Kluyveromyces lactis: one gene and its partner. The protein of the gene in region 2 interacts with the protein of the main gene of each other region in a biochemical or structural test. Links are inferred from orthologs where the notes say so. Each region holds a gene or a part of one and is shown on either strand. Other genes may lie near its edges. The genes, in order: SCH9 and MAF1.

Region 1 (8,393 bases), on a different chromosome or scaffold from region 2:
AGTGCTTGCAATAACAATTGTTTATTTTCCTACCTTTTCTACAGTCGAGCCACCTTGTTGCAGTAGTCATGCATGTATGCGATGAGATGAGATGAGATCAATTCAATTGATAGATTTTTTTTTTCTTTCAATACGAATGGATGGGTCTTTCAAGAAGATCGAAAGAAACAGGCAACATTATTGTAAGTCACGTGGTCACAACCACGTGACTTTTGTGTTTCTGTGTCACGTGACATCTCATCACTCACGAACCAATCATTTCTAAGAACCGTGTCCAACCATTTTTTCTTCAAATGGTTTACCAATACCCTTTCACAGTGCATTACGCGATTCCTGTCTGTTCCCTCTCACTCCCAGTACGTTCCGCTAAAACCCGATATCCCCTTCTTACTGTGACTCCAAGATGGTCTAAGCACGCTTCTCCTTTCTACAGAATCAGCTCGCTTCTTCTCTGATTCCTCTGTAGAGATCAGTCTTCACATCTCGAAATATCTTTTTTTTTTCAATTTTTTTTTTTTTTGTTAGTTATTGGATTTTATCGCATATAGCTTTATTCAATAGGTTCTTGAAAAATTTATAACAAAATATGACAATTCTACTTCAAAGTTTAGAGCTTTTTGTTTGAAGATTGGTTTTGATTACAGGTTTTGTAAAGATTTGTGATTGATATACTATTTTGATTACTTTGTTTTACTCGTTACTCTGTCAGTGTACTTTTTTTGCTCTGTTTCGATACTTATTTTGTGTGTGAGTAAATATTATTTGAGTTTGGACATTAAAGGAAAAGTAGAGGAAGACCTTTTGATTAACGCATAATTGATATTGATATTGATTGATATTCTGACTCCCAAAATTAAAAAGCCCATAAACATATAATATAAAGATGTTGTCCAGTAGATTACAATTTGCCCAGCAAACTGCTAGAAAATTCAGTATTTCCGCTAAAGACGGTTCCGGTAAACTATCCACTTTGGCTGTTAAGGTTCACGGTGGTTCTCGTTACGCCGACAAAGAAGGTATTGCCCACCTTTTGTCCAGATTCAACTTCCATAACACCGGTAACAAGTCTGCTTTGAGATTGGTTAGAGAAAGTGAATTGTTGGGTGGTAAGTTCGAATCCAGTGTTGACAGAGAATACATCACTTTGAAGGCTACTTTCTTGAAGGAAGATCTTCCATACTTCGTTAACGCTTTGGGTAACGTTTTGTACAAGACCAGTTTCAGACCCCACGAATTACCAGAATCTGTCTTGCCAGCTGCTAAGTACGACATTTCCGTTTCTGAAACTAACCCAATCAACAAGGCCGAAGACTTACTTTACAATGTCTCTTTCAGAAAGGACTTAGGTAACACAGTTCTATACAGAGGTGTCGAGAAGGTCACCTTGGATGATATCAAGGCTTATGCCAACAAGGTCTACACCAAGGAAAACATTGAAATTGTTGGTCAAGGTGTCAACGAAGCTGACTTGAAGAGATTTGTCAACGACTCTTTGATTGGTTCTTTACCAACTGGCTCCAAGTTGGCTGCTCAAGCTCAACCAAAGTTCTTCTCCGGTGAAGCCAGATTAAGTGCTCCAGGTGCCTCCGTTGCCGCTATCGCTGTTCCAGTTACTAAGGAACAGTTCGCTACCTACGAAGTCTTGGCTAAGTACCTAACCTCTGCTTTGTCCGAATTGTCTCCATTAATTGACTCAGCTAAGTTAGACAAGTACGCTAATGCCGGCTTGTTCTCTTTATACGTCAAGGGTGAGGATGCTTCTGTCGTTGCTGAAAACATAAAGAAGGTCGTTGATACCTTGAAGAAGGATGTCGACATTTCAGCTGCTAAGGAATACACTGCCTTGCAATTATCTTTGGAAAACGCTCCAATCGATGTCTCTAATGTCAAGAATGTCAAGTTGGACAAATTCTCTTACGCCGCTGTAGGTAACGTCGCTAAGCTACCTTTCGCTGATGAATTGTAAATTTCATCACAGTTAAAAATAACTCACAGATTTTAACCTTTCTCCTACTAGCCAAAGTTACACACATAGTACTTTAAAACTGAAAAAAAAACAACAAACAAACACACATATTCATGAGAGATGACAGAATCACATCACTGAAATGTTTAGAAACGATATTACATTTCTATTGTACATATTTTTTATTATCTTTTACCTTTCGTGGCTTTTGGAAACATTGCAACCTAAAAGAAACCAATAAAATTCAAAAACAAAACTCTCTAAGATTCAAAAGAACACCTTTAACCTTTGGAAAAACTGGTGATGTTAAAAGAGAACCCGTCAATATCTTAATCTTTTGAAATGTGCAGAAGCCACTGATCAAATTCAACAGTTCTGTTGATTCATACAATCCCCATCACTGCTCTTAAGAAAAACAATCAAACAGAGGTTGTGGTGATATTGCAAGAACGTTGGTTTAATACGTAGTGTGTCTTCTTGCCGAACCTATTTTTATTTTCACATATCATCTTAGAAACTTATCACTTATTTATTGAAGTATATATCTCTGAACAAATATCAGTTAACATATTATTGAGAACTAGCAAGTGGAAAGAATATCATAGATTACAGACAGAATAAAAAATAATAAATGATACATTTGGATAATTACTACAATTGACGTTCTAAAAAGAAAATCATAACGGAAATAATAAATTAAGTTAAGTTAAGGTAAAGTTTAACTAAAGTCTTTAGTGAATACTGAATGATTAAAGAGGTTCGATAACAGTTCTCAAAACTCCATTGGAAAAAGTAAATGATTACATTAAACATATGTAATCAAAGAAAAAAGATAAAAAGGCCATCCAACTTCTGAGAGCTCACAAACTGTCTTCGGTTGGGGAACAGGTAAGAATCATTCTAAAAGCTAGCACTAGAATATTACAATAAGGCATGAAAAACCATTATCCGTGCATTGGAAAATTGTACATTCGTACTTTGAAAAACGGTGATGTAAAGGCAATTGAATATTATAGTAACAACGATCGATTCCTGTTCAACTTTTTCCTGCAAATTAGATTCATATGAAAATGATAGAACATGTTCTGAACGATAGTGGGGAAAAGCAGGAAACTAAATAAATACAACTGCGAATGGAGAATATGAGAATCAGTAGCATGGCAAAATTGGGATGTAATTATCTTAATTAGGTGAATGAAATAAAAAGATCAACCAAAAAATGTATAAAGCACTGATGTAAGATGAATTCGATTTAGATTTCGAATCTACCATTAACAAATTCATCATCCATGTGATGGTCGCCGTCATAGTCTACAGAAATACCACCACTTCCCTTCACAGCTGCAAGTCTATCATTATCCTCTTCCTCGTCATCAATAACGTCTTCGTCTGGAGGTAGGTTAGGATTACCAGGAATAAATGAACCGGGCTCCATGAAATATGAGTTTTGTAAAAACTTACGATTATTGTATGCATTGTTATAATGCTCATCAATAGCAGATTCATCAACGAACGTAAATCCAACAAATTTGGCTTGCATTGCAGGCGAAAGCGGAGTAGCTGCAATCGGCTGCTTATTCATGAAAGAGGTTGAGGTTTGGGTGAACTCAGGATCAAAGTTCGAAGTGTCAGTCTCAGAGATCAAATGAGGTTTGAATGGAGGTGGGATTTTCTTTTGTCTCACAGCTTCCCAGTCGATGTCATTGAAAAATGGATGAGCTCTTAGTTCTCTTCCGTCATCTATGGCACCAAGTCTATGTTTAGGATTTCTATTCAACAATCCCTTAACAAAAGATCTACCTTCTGGTGATAAAACATCACGAGGGAACTTGACTTTACCGAACGCAATCTTTTGGTACATTTTTTGGTTATCAGATGCGAAGAATGGAGACCATCCACAGCACATTTCAAAAATTAGAACACCTAAAGACCAGAAATCGACCATTTTTGTGTATCCAGTTTCATCCATTAATAGTTCTGGAGCGAGGTATTCAGTAGTACCACAGAAGGTATTCGTTCTATCCTTAAGGTCAGCTTTCGAAAGACCAAAGTCGCAAAGAGCGATGTTGCCGTTAGCATCCAGCAAAATATTCTCCGGTTTCAAATCTCTGTAAACGATATCGTTATCATGTAGGTACTCTAAGGCAAGCACCAACTCTGCAATATAGAATTTTGCACGATCTTCAGTGAATCTTCCTTCTTTTTGTAAATGCCAGAAAAGCTCACCACCGCTCATGAAATCTGTGACTAAATACAAATCAGTTGGTGTCTGGAAAGAGAATTTCAACCCGACAATAAATGGAGAAGATTTGGAAGCAGTACGAACCAAAATATTTCTTTCACCGATAGTATGAGCGATTTCGTTTTTCTTGACAATCACTTTCTTAGATAGAACTTTCATAGCATAGATTCTCATAGTGTCCTTCTTTCTAACTTGATAAACTTGTCCGAACGTACCCTTACCCAATAACCTCAAAACTTCGAAATCCTGTGGTCCATATTGTCTCTTCTTGGTAGAAGTATATTCCCAGTGAATCAGAATATCACCAGTGACATGTTCACCCAAAGCTCTTGATTTTAGCTTATGCCATTCACTATGAACACCGGGAGTGACAGCGTTCATATTTGGATGTAATCTTACTTGACCCAAGAACATGTCATCTTGGGCAGCGTCATAAATAGAGATGTCTAACTCAGAGTGAGTTCCTAGGACATCGAAAGTAGCTTCGTGTTCCCATACAGGATTAATGGAACCTCTCTTTAAGTTTAATTGGTTATTACCCAATTTATCCAGCTGAGAAGAGGATTGTCTAGTGTATAAAGGTCTCTTAAGTTTTTCGTTGGTATTAAGCAACCCTTTGCTCCATTGGTTATTGGAGTTAGCAGCTGAAATAGAAGGATATTTGTTATCCAAGGATTCAGGACCATTGGAAATGAACTCAGAACTTTCAAACGTACAAACAACGTAAGGTTGCGATGCAGAAGGCGATCTTATCGAAAGATTCAAGGCTTCTGCAATAACAATCCTAAGTTTGCCCCTGGGTAGCTGTCCATTACTATTGTTAGAATCTGAACGAGATGATGTAGAAGATCCGTTGTCTGTGGTGCTGATTTCTGGTGCAGCAGCCATGCTAGGTTGAGCCGCATCAGAAGATTGCGCGTATTGCGGTGCTCGCTGCTGTTGCTGCTGTTGCTGCTGTTGCTGTTGTTGCTCTTGAATATTTGAATCCATAGAGGCCTTCATATGATCCAGAATGTTCTCCTGCTGCTGCCGATTCTGATTAAGACCGGTAGTTCCCATAGCGTAGGAATGCTCACTGAGAGCAGTGGTAGGTGTCGCAGTCGCCGAATGCGAGCCTATGCTTGGAAAGAACCCAGCACCTGCAGTTCCCGCACTCTTCGGACGAGGTACAGCAGCATTGTTGCCCTCATTCTGGGACTTGAAGAAGTTCATCATGGCGTTCGATGGCAACGTCAGATAATGTGAACTGAAGCTCGAAGTATTAATTACAAAAAGTGAACCTTCCTCACTTAATTAACGATCTGCGATAACTAGCGTGGACCTTGACTCAGACCTTGAGACCGGAATGGCGAATTGCAAGCACTTAAAACCAAAAAAAAATTATTAATCCCCCCCGATAAATTGGATCGATTAATCCACTCTTATATTACTAAAATAAACCGATGAACCAGTAATAGAACGCTTCACGGGATTAAATAAAATGAGCTCGAATCAGAATACTTGGTCACTGATCTCACAAATATGAACCTTGCCTCAAGTTCTTATATTACACTCGATCGATTATCGATCCTTTTTTCGATTAAAATAAAAGATAATCCTTTGAAAGCACCGATAGAAAATCAATATATACCACCAGAAACCTTACACGCCTCCGATCTTCACAAAGACTCTCTAGCGTAGCTTCAAAAACACCCTGTGCAGAAATATACCCGTTTCACTTGCAGAAGTATAACTACAGCACAAACGAAAAGCCGCTTCCTTGTTTTCTGTTTCCTATTTCCTATTCAAGTTTCCATTCCTCATTTCTTATTCTTCGTTTCTTTATTTTCAGCATCTTGTTTCTTTATTCCATTCGAAACTCACTTTTCTCGATTTCCTTTCCTTTTTCCGAATTTCAAGTAGTGAACTGCGAGATTGCAAGAGCTGACGTCTTCGGGTTTGTTTAGATAAGAGGAAAAGGAAGGGCAGGAAAAAGAAATAGGCCGGTTGCCATCCTCGAGAATAGACGTACGGGTAAGATATGTATTATATTACAAAACGAAGATATTAGTTATTGGTATGCAGTTGATGAGCAGTTGAGATTTGCGATTTATCGAGATGTAGCTCTCTTTGCTCGAGTCATCGAAGAAGAGGCTTGATTTATTGACAACGACTACGTCGTTGTCACCAAGGTCAATGCCATCTATTGCGGTTACTGTGTAGGTATGTATGCTTGTATCGTCTTTGGGTTTACAGTTTTGCTTGTTCAAGACATCATATAGATCGAATTTCGAGTTAGGGTCCTGCACTTCAATAGAGTTCGGGTGCCATGTAAAATCGAGGAAAGCGATCTTGATACCGTAGATTGATTGGAACCGGTACATTCGAGCGTCAGAAGACCATTGGTGTGTCGATATCAGTGTTGAGTCCGGGTCTCTGCTTCCTATGGTTCCTTCGAATGCTTTTGTCAATGGGACCAGACAAATTTTCTGTTGGGAGAAAGACCAATGAGAGTATAGTTCTGGTGTTAGCTCGAAAGGTATGTATCCTTTGTTCCATGCAGGTTGTTCCAAGGTAGCCTGATATCTGAAATCTATTTCAAACAGTTTTGGATCGGATAGCACGTCGGAATCTTGGAAACCTTGTCTATTCGATTGTCTCTTGGTGTACGCCAGTTCAGGAGAAATACATTGGCCATCTAGTTTCTTCTTAGCATGGTTAATTCTCCTGTTAGGAGATTTGGTCCTTCTCATCCAGTTTTTCGCCTTTAGCAAATGGAACTGGTACATTTCTGTAGTAACATGAGGTGGGTCTGCTTCCCTCCTGTATGATTCGTAACGTCTCTTTAAACCCACATCGATCCAGAATGGATGCGCTTCTGTACTGAAAATATGATTCCATAGCGTTGTATGCAATTCGTTATCCTCATCGAACAATAAATACAGATACTTCAACGTCTCCCCTAGGACAAATGATTCCATTCGGTCTTGAACTTCTCCAGTAGTCACATCCTGTAGCCCCGCAAATCCACACCTAGTCTTGAAGCGATGCTGTAGATCTTTTAGAATTCGAATACCGATATTCAAATAATAAACGTCTTTAGTGGCTCTGTAAAGGTAATACGTCGATTCAATGAACTCCGGTCTCAATGGATACCATTCTAAATCTATCGACAATGAGGGTGAGTCTAATTCTTCGGTGGTCGGTGGCGATTGCACAAAGTTCCATCTTTCTGGGATACCACCGTATGTAGACCATAGTTTGGAAAACATTATGTGTTTCTTCCTTGCATCTTCCAGCCTTCCATCTAAAGTCAGTAGACCAGGAAAGAAAGCACTTAACGAATCTATCCAAAGAACGACAGTTTTACCATGAGATACTCCAACGTTACTGTAGAACCAATCTGTCTTTGAGTAAGAGTTAAGGGCGGATATTGCAGTTTCCCACACACTATAGAGCCACGAATCATCGAATAAGATGGAACCCTTAAGAGCAGTTTCGTAAAATGAATCAATCGATGCACCAATACCTGTAACCTCGTTGTATATCGTGGTATCGTATGGACTGAACGACATTGGAACGAGATTCAATTCTGATCTAAGATCCCAGGTTCTGTTGAATGAAAATTCAGAGACTTCGCGGTAAGTATCATTCAACGTCAACATCGAAAGCAGCCTGAATTCAAACAATGGAGATGCTGTCGCAGCAGCATTATTCTCCTCAATAAGTTTGGGATCAATCCGAGTACCGTAACGGAGATTTATCCTGGGTACAGGTAAACCTGTGGGAGATAGGTATGCCATAAGCAACTTATCACCTAGGGCAATACATCTTCGTAGCAAAAATCCATCATAGTTATCTTTACCCAAGTAAACCTTGGTGCGTGGGTCTGTTGCATATATATGCGCAGACATCATCCCACCGAGTAATCGAATTGTAGTTTCAAACAATTGCACCGTAGAGTCAATATCAAAAGTTTCGGGCACCGTTTTATGAAATAAATTGATTGCATCAGCGAATCCCTTCTTATCGCCCAATACAGCGAGTGTCGTAAATGAATCGACTAAAGTGGTCGTGAAATTACCCAAGACATCGTTGGTATTGGTATCGTAAGGATCATCGAATCTCCGTTTCATAGGAACGCACGCGATGGGTAGTACCTCATCATACGGGTATCCATATTCTAAATAAGAATTGAATCCATGA
Region 2 (7,127 bases):
TTGAAGTTATCCATGAAGCCATCGATAGTGCTGCAGAAGCGTTCCGTTTGTTTAAGAAAACTACACCAAAGACCAGATCTACATGGTTGCGTAACTTGTACAATTTGATGATGGAAAACGTCGACGATTTGGCAAAGATTATTACTTGGGAAAATGGTAAGGCTCTATCCGAAGCTCAAGGTGAAGTTAAGTATGCAGCATCTTATTTCGAATGGTATGCTGAAGAAGCAGTTAGAATGTATGGTACTACTATTCAACCGAATAATGGATCCAATAGAGCTTTCACCGTTAGACAACCAGTTGGTGTCTGTGGTATCATTTGTCCATGGAATTTCCCAAGCGCTATGATTACCAGAAAGGCCGGTGCTGCATTGGCAGCTGGTTGTACCGTGGTCGTGAAACCAGATTCTCAAACTCCATTGTCCGCTTTGGCTTTGGCTCATTTGGCTGAAAAAGCTGGTTTCCCTAAAGGTGTTTTCAACGTCGTATTGACTGCTACCAGAACTCCAGAATTCGGTTTGGCTCTATGTGAATCTCCAAAAGTTAAGAAGATTTCGTTCACTGGGTCGACCAACGTCGGTAAGATCTTGATGAAACAAAGTGCATCTACTATGAAGAAATTGTCCTTTGAATTAGGTGGTAATGCTCCGGTCATTGTCTTCGACGATGCTGATTTGGAGCAAGCCGTTACTCAAACTATTTTGTCCAAATTTAGAGGCCTAGGTCAAACTTGTGTGTGCGCTAACAGAATCTATGTTCAACGTACCATCATTGATTCATTTGCTGAAAAATTGGCTAAACAAGTGAACGAGTTCGTCATTGGCCATGGTTTGGACTCTAAGACTACTCACGGATGTCTAATTAATGAAAATGCTATAAAGAAAGTTGAAGCTCATGTAAAGGACGCCTTGGAAAAGGGTGCAAAGACCGTCGTTGCTGGTGGTCGTTTGCCAGAATTAGGTCCAAACTTCTACGCTCCAACCGTACTATCTCATGTTCCATCCACGGCTGTGGTTAATAAAGATGAGACTTTCGGTCCTCTCTGTGCCTTGATTCCATTCGATACCATGGAAGAAGTCGTAGGATATGCTAACGATACTGAATTGGGTCTAGCATCATACGTGTTCTCTAAGAACATTGATACCGTATACACCGTTGCTGAAGCTTTGGAAACCGGTATGGTCTCATGCAACACTGGTTTGTTCAGTGAGTGTACCATTCCATTCGGCGGTGTTAAGGAATCCGGATTCGGTAGAGAGGGATCTTTGCACGGTATTGAAGACTATACTGTCATCAAGACTATCACCATCGGAAACTTGCCTGCTCCACTATAAATTGATGGGCGTAACTGATTATAATAGTAGACGATATGTACCATATGTATATAGAAACGTATTTCCAGTAGTGTAGCAATTTATATTTATCCTCGGATTAAGAGCGGATTAACATAGCATGATATAAGTTGAGTTGATTATTCAACCTGAGTTAACCAGTTATTGGAACGAGAATCCAATTGTTTTCTATTTGATAGCCTCGTATTGACTGTTTCGTTACGCGTAGTGATTGTGATTACATTTAACAATTGATTTGAAAAAACGTTATTATGGCGTAAGTGAAAGCTTAGTAACGATCTGCAAAGATAAAGCCACAACAGTAATTAGCTGCCACTTTCCAGTACTCAGTGCCATCCTTCACTTGAGCTTAGTGGGGGTTCAGCTGCTGTTGTTTTCCCACCATGGATTTATATGAACAACTTCCGTCCAGTGGTATGATTCATCAACCGGAATACAAGTTCTTACTGGATGCCGCTACCTTTCATGGGATCACCTGCTTAGATTTCCTATCCCAGTCACCATCTAACTTGATGAAGACCATTAATAGATCTATCAATGAGATTATAAAGTTTCAAGCCGCTCTACGAAATGAATTCGAATTGGCATTGGCCGATATTAAGATACAAGACATCACAACACTGAAGGAGGATGACAAACCACGATGTTTCACCACCGGGAACCTTGGATTAGACAAACTTTTAGGCGGAGGCATATATTCAAAAGGTATCACTGAAATATTCGGAGAAAGTAGCACTGGGAAGTCACAATTACTTCTGCAGTTGGCACTCTCTGTTCAGTTGCCAGAAGACATGAATGGCCTTAACGGGCAGAGCGTATATATCACTACGGAGGGTGACTTACCAACCAGAAGGCTGAAAAGCATCATAGAACAATCATCTTTGTTTAAAGATGAAGGTGGCGATTGCTTGGTGTCTCAAAAGAAAATATTCACTGTCACCTGTAATGACTGGGCTAATCAAGAACATGTTACAACAGTCCAGCTTCCAGTCCTACTGGAAAGACACCCATCTATTAAATTAGTAATAATAGATTCGATTTCGCACCATCTCAGGGTTGAGTTGCAATCGAAAACATTTCAAGAATCGAGATCAAACAGGTATATTATAGATTCCATGGCAGAGAACTTACTTTCTTTAGCTCAAAAACATAATTTGGCCATCGTCGTCGCCAATCAAGTAAGTGACAAACTTTTACCAGAGAAGCCAATACGACAGGACTTCAAGGATTATGATTATCAGCTGGGCTGGAACATCGGATGGAAGAATTCGACTATTTTTTATAGACACAAATTCAATGAAATAGAGAAATATGATGAGACCATATTGAGTGACGATGAGGACTATACGTTAATTGTAGACCAGGTTGCAAGGAAATTACAACAGAATGTTCCGGCTAGTGTTCCAGATACAAATAATAAAGACCCTGCGCAGTCTGTCGCAGCATTGAGGACTGAAGCGCTGCGGAATAATGTTATCTCTCAACAAAACTCACCTCAGCCTACTCAAAGTAAAACCCCTGTGGTACCGTCACAGCCCCAACCATCCGCACCTTTCCTGTTATCAAGAAGGAAACGAGAAGTTGACACGAAGGTACCAAATCTCGGTTTAACTTGGGCTAACCATTTAATGACAAGAATAAAACTGGAGAAACGATATAAAGCATCACCTATGGTACGCACGGGGGAATTCAATTACAACAATACAACAGATACCTCTCAATTTTGGCAAGTGCAGAGAAATCTGAAGCTAGTGTTTTCGACTTATGCGGTGAAAGGTGAAATGAATTTTGCGATTAGTGGAGAAGGTGTTATTTCGGTACAGTGATATATCAATTGCGCTTTAACTCCTGTCAAGAAAACTCAAAGATATGGAGAAATATAATTAAGCAACTTTGAATCATATAAAGTGTTACGTGTTGCGTATTTATTTTGTATGGAAAGGTTCAGTTTACGTCATAGAAGGACTGTCATGATTTTATATTTATATTTGAAATAAGAACAATAGTGTTAATAATAAAACATAGGTAGAAAGACAGAGAGAGTTAGAAAAAAATGATACAGCAAGAAGAAATACTATAGGTTACAACATCCAAATAATGCACTGCTTTAGCTATCGTGAACTTGGGGAAGGTAATTCAATAAAAATACAGGAAAGCGATAAGTTGGTTCGAAAATGTAATGATAATCAGTTAAGATCATCCATGGCTTCATCCTTGAAATCTTCGTTGATGCCCTCATCATCATCAATTATAGCATTCTCCTCATAAGTTAAATCATATTCGCCTTCAAAATCGTTGTCGTTATCTAACGTCAATTTCCTTCTCTGTTTACGTTCTGATTCTAGTTTACTTGAATTTTCATCTTCGTCATCCGCCAATATGACACTATTTCCAACAGAGGGAGTTCCTTTCAAACGGCATGCTGTTAGATAAACATATGCGACTCTTTTCCTTTTTTTATTGAACAAAAACCACATCAATGACCAAAGATGGCCAGGCTCATCTTCAAGAAACGATTTTTGAGGGACATATTGATAGAAAGCGCAATCGTTGATATCCATATGTCCGTTGATCGTTTCCCAGATCCATTCCTGAGGTGGTTTTCCTAAAGATATCAAGGTATTTTCGAACTTCGAGATGAAACTTTTCTTGGTGCATTTCACGAAATCGGTGGGCTCTAATGACGAAAAATCGTGATCCGGATAGGACGCATTCAAAATGGCTATTAGATACGCGAAAGCTCTCCTGCTAGCAGTTTCGTTGATAGGTCCAAACGGTCCAATATTTACGTTGTCTCTTCCTTGTACCGATGACCTCCTCCTCTGTTGGTATGAAGTATTTTGTATTTCATTCGCTGAACCACTTGTGCTAGGTCTTCTTTTCGAAGTATCGGTATGGTTGCTTGCAATGCTTCCAGCACTGCTAGTCCTCCTTAGGAAACTGGGACGTTGTGAAGCGATCCCTAAAGGCCCCGATTCCATTGATGATGAACTCAAATATCCGTTATTGGAGTTAGCATTGGTGGTACTACTATTACTATTGTTGTGTCCATTCGTGACAAAATTTGTACTGTCAGTTGACAGCACGAATTCCTTCAAATTTTGGTCGTTCAACTTATTAGATTTTATTATAGGTGACGAACTATTTGTCCCACTCGAATTCTCGCTAACAGACATCCTTCTCTTTTGTTCCCAGAATGAATTAGGGTTTGGGCTCTGTTGCTCTTGCACATTTTCATCGATAGTTCTGTTCTTTTCGTCAAAAGATTGCCTCCTGTGAGCTGCAGCAGTAAGCGACTCACTTTCTTGAAGTAAGGACTCCAAATGACGATCTATGGTCTTATAAAGCTTCTTATCTGAAGCTACGGGCTTTGTCGTGAAAATGTCGCAACCACCTGTGATACTGCAGTCCGAGGTCTCGAAATTAAGAGCCTGGTTAACAACCTCTAAATCAAATTCATCGATAAACTTTAAAAGATGTTAAGTAACACATGATGCAAAAAATATACATACATGCCGTTAATATAAGGTTAGTATTCCGTTTGTTCATTATGAATATGTCAGAACTATATTAAAACACGATTATTCGCATACCTTCATTATTGCAGGTTAATTGGAAGCGGTGAAACGTTTGAAAATAAAACAGTATTCTTGAGAGCTCAAAGACACACTGTGCTAGATTCAACTAAATTGACGGCCTCCTATCAAGCTTGTTATGGTTGGCTGTTCGAAAACTCATTGTAAGGGCAGCGTTATCGGTCTTTGTGATAATTTCAACTCAGCACATGTTACTTCGAGAAACGGGAACGCGCATTAAAAGGTCGGGTAACCCTCAGTTATGAGGCCACAGCTAGGTGAGTTGAAAGCAGACAGCACCATTGAACAGAAGCTACCATCTCCAAGCTAACATTGACATTCTATAGTCAAAAAGAAGTTGCTTTATGTATGTTCCTGTATGTACAAATCCGTGGCAACCACAACTTTTTATGCGGTAAAGAATTAAAGTATTATGATATTAGAAATTAATGTTACTATGTGAAATAAATGTTGTTAGAGAGGAGCTTGCTCTGTGAGTGAACGATAACTATAGATAGTCCGTTTTATAGATCCAGTCTGCTCCAATTAGATCTGCTCCTTGATCCTTTGCGAGTCTGAACCATTTAGCTGCTCGTCTTAAATCTTTTTTCCTATTTGGAGTCGTCTTTGACCAAATGGTACCGCATAAACACATAGAATCAACGTGTCCCAACGATGCTGCATATTCCAAACATTTCAGACCCTTCCATTCATGAGCAGTGACACCGTATCCCTTCATATAAGCTATACCACATTCGTACAGAGCGGGGGCAGCTGCGTCATTCTGTAGAGATGGAAGCGGTTCACGTATCTCAAATGGATCTATATTTGCATGTAATACGCTGGTTTTGAAATCCTTGATACCCGTTGCACCTCTAATCCAGTTAAATGATTCGTGTAAATCGATTTCGGTACCAGACCCGTATCTTAAGGCAAGACCATACAGCAAAAAAGCTGTTCTGTCCTCCAATTTACACGCTTCTTTGAGATGTGCAGTTGACCCTTTCAGGTCACCTTTGTTTCTTAATTCAATGGCAATATTGATTCGTTGTTTTGCAATGAGACGTTTGTTAGAGTTATTTCTCTGCACTAGTTCACCTTGTGATGTAGATGATGGTTGGACGACAGGTTCACGGTCGTTCCTAGATGCAGTAGATGAATTGGACGAGGAAGAGGTTGTAGAAGGTTTTCTACCACCTAAAGTGGTTACTGGTAAAATCGTTGGCCTTGGATCCAATAACATTTTATAACTATGTTGTGATCTCGAAGCAGACCCTGAGCTCTGTTTGGAGCTCGAAGAGGATGATGTTTGTGGTTCAGATCTTTGATTATTTGCATGAGTGATATGCGAAAAGATTCCTCTTCCTTTGGAGAGACTACGTTTATGATTGGTGCTTTGATTTACATTCGTAGTTTGTGATTCATTCTTGTCCTTATAAAGTGAGACAGTGTTCTCTTCCTTGTCATAGCGTTCATTTTCTTCACCAAGATTGAGCTGATGTGGGAACTTGAACTTAGATGTCGGTGTATTTGGTACGGAAGTAGATTTTCCAGGAGTATCCACAATCGTCTTGTTGCTCATTGGCGATGAATAATCATTTATTGGAGTTTCAGGTTGGTGATGACTTACCTTTGGTGATTTGAACAAATTCTTAAATGAAAATGATGATGATTTCTTCGATTGGTGCCCTTTCTTAAAGTCCTTGCTAGGTGGTGTTGAAACCTCGAACGGGAACGAAAGGAATGAGTTGGACGCGGTACTCTTCTTTGGTGTTTGAAACCCGTTGACTAGACCATTAGATTGCTCACTCTCGGATGATGATTGTGTTGAGGGATGGTTTAATACAATGGAAGACAGGCTCGTCTTGGGGGTGTGTGATGGGGTGTTTACAGGTGTTCCAAATTCGTATTTATTATAAGGAGAAAACATCATATCAGTAATCGCTGGGGTAACGTTATATCGAACTGGTTCATGTTTCTTGAAGCGAAACTTCTCTATGTTTATTGGCTGATCAGATGACGTGTTCGGCTTCACACCATTCGATGCAGATGTAACAGTCCCCTTTTCCACACCATTACTGGCTCCCGATAACTCAGTCACTTGTGATTGTACCTCGTCGTCATCATGTTCCTCCACTGTTATATAAGAATATCTCAGATCTGCCACGTTGTTCTCTACAGCTATTGCCTTTGAAGTTTC

Evidence for each region.
Region 1: of the proteins of MAF1 (region 2) and SCH9, one has a biochemical effect on the other in vitro, tested with the Saccharomyces cerevisiae proteins (5 studies listed by BioGRID). The link is inferred for Kluyveromyces lactis from reciprocal best matches to the Saccharomyces cerevisiae genes MAF1 and SCH9.

What each region holds. Positions count from the first base shown.
Region 1 is NC_006038.1:323,653-332,045, forward strand, and holds SCH9 (serine/threonine protein kinase SCH9), read right to left. Parts: upstream 5,424-8,393; coding exon 3,219-5,423; downstream 1-3,218. Other genes in the region: QCR2 (ubiquinol--cytochrome-c reductase subunit 2), read left to right, coding at 884-1,966; alpha-1,2-mannosidase MNL1, read right to left, coding at 6,239-8,393. UniProt on the Saccharomyces cerevisiae protein: Protein kinase that is part of growth control pathway which is at least partially redundant with the cAMP pathway. Regulates both BCY1 phosphorylation and MPK1 activity.
Region 2 is NC_006041.1:1,554,142-1,561,268, forward strand, and holds MAF1 (RNA polymerase III-inhibiting protein MAF1), read right to left. Parts: upstream 4,529-7,127; coding exon 3,539-4,528; downstream 1-3,538. Other genes in the region: UGA2 (succinate-semialdehyde dehydrogenase (NAD(P)(+))), read left to right, coding at 1-1,334; putative DNA-dependent ATPase RAD57, read left to right, coding at 1,736-3,178; DSF2 (Dsf2p), read right to left, coding at 5,436-7,127. UniProt on the Saccharomyces cerevisiae protein: Mediator of diverse signals that repress RNA polymerase III transcription. Inhibits the de novo assembly of TFIIIB onto DNA.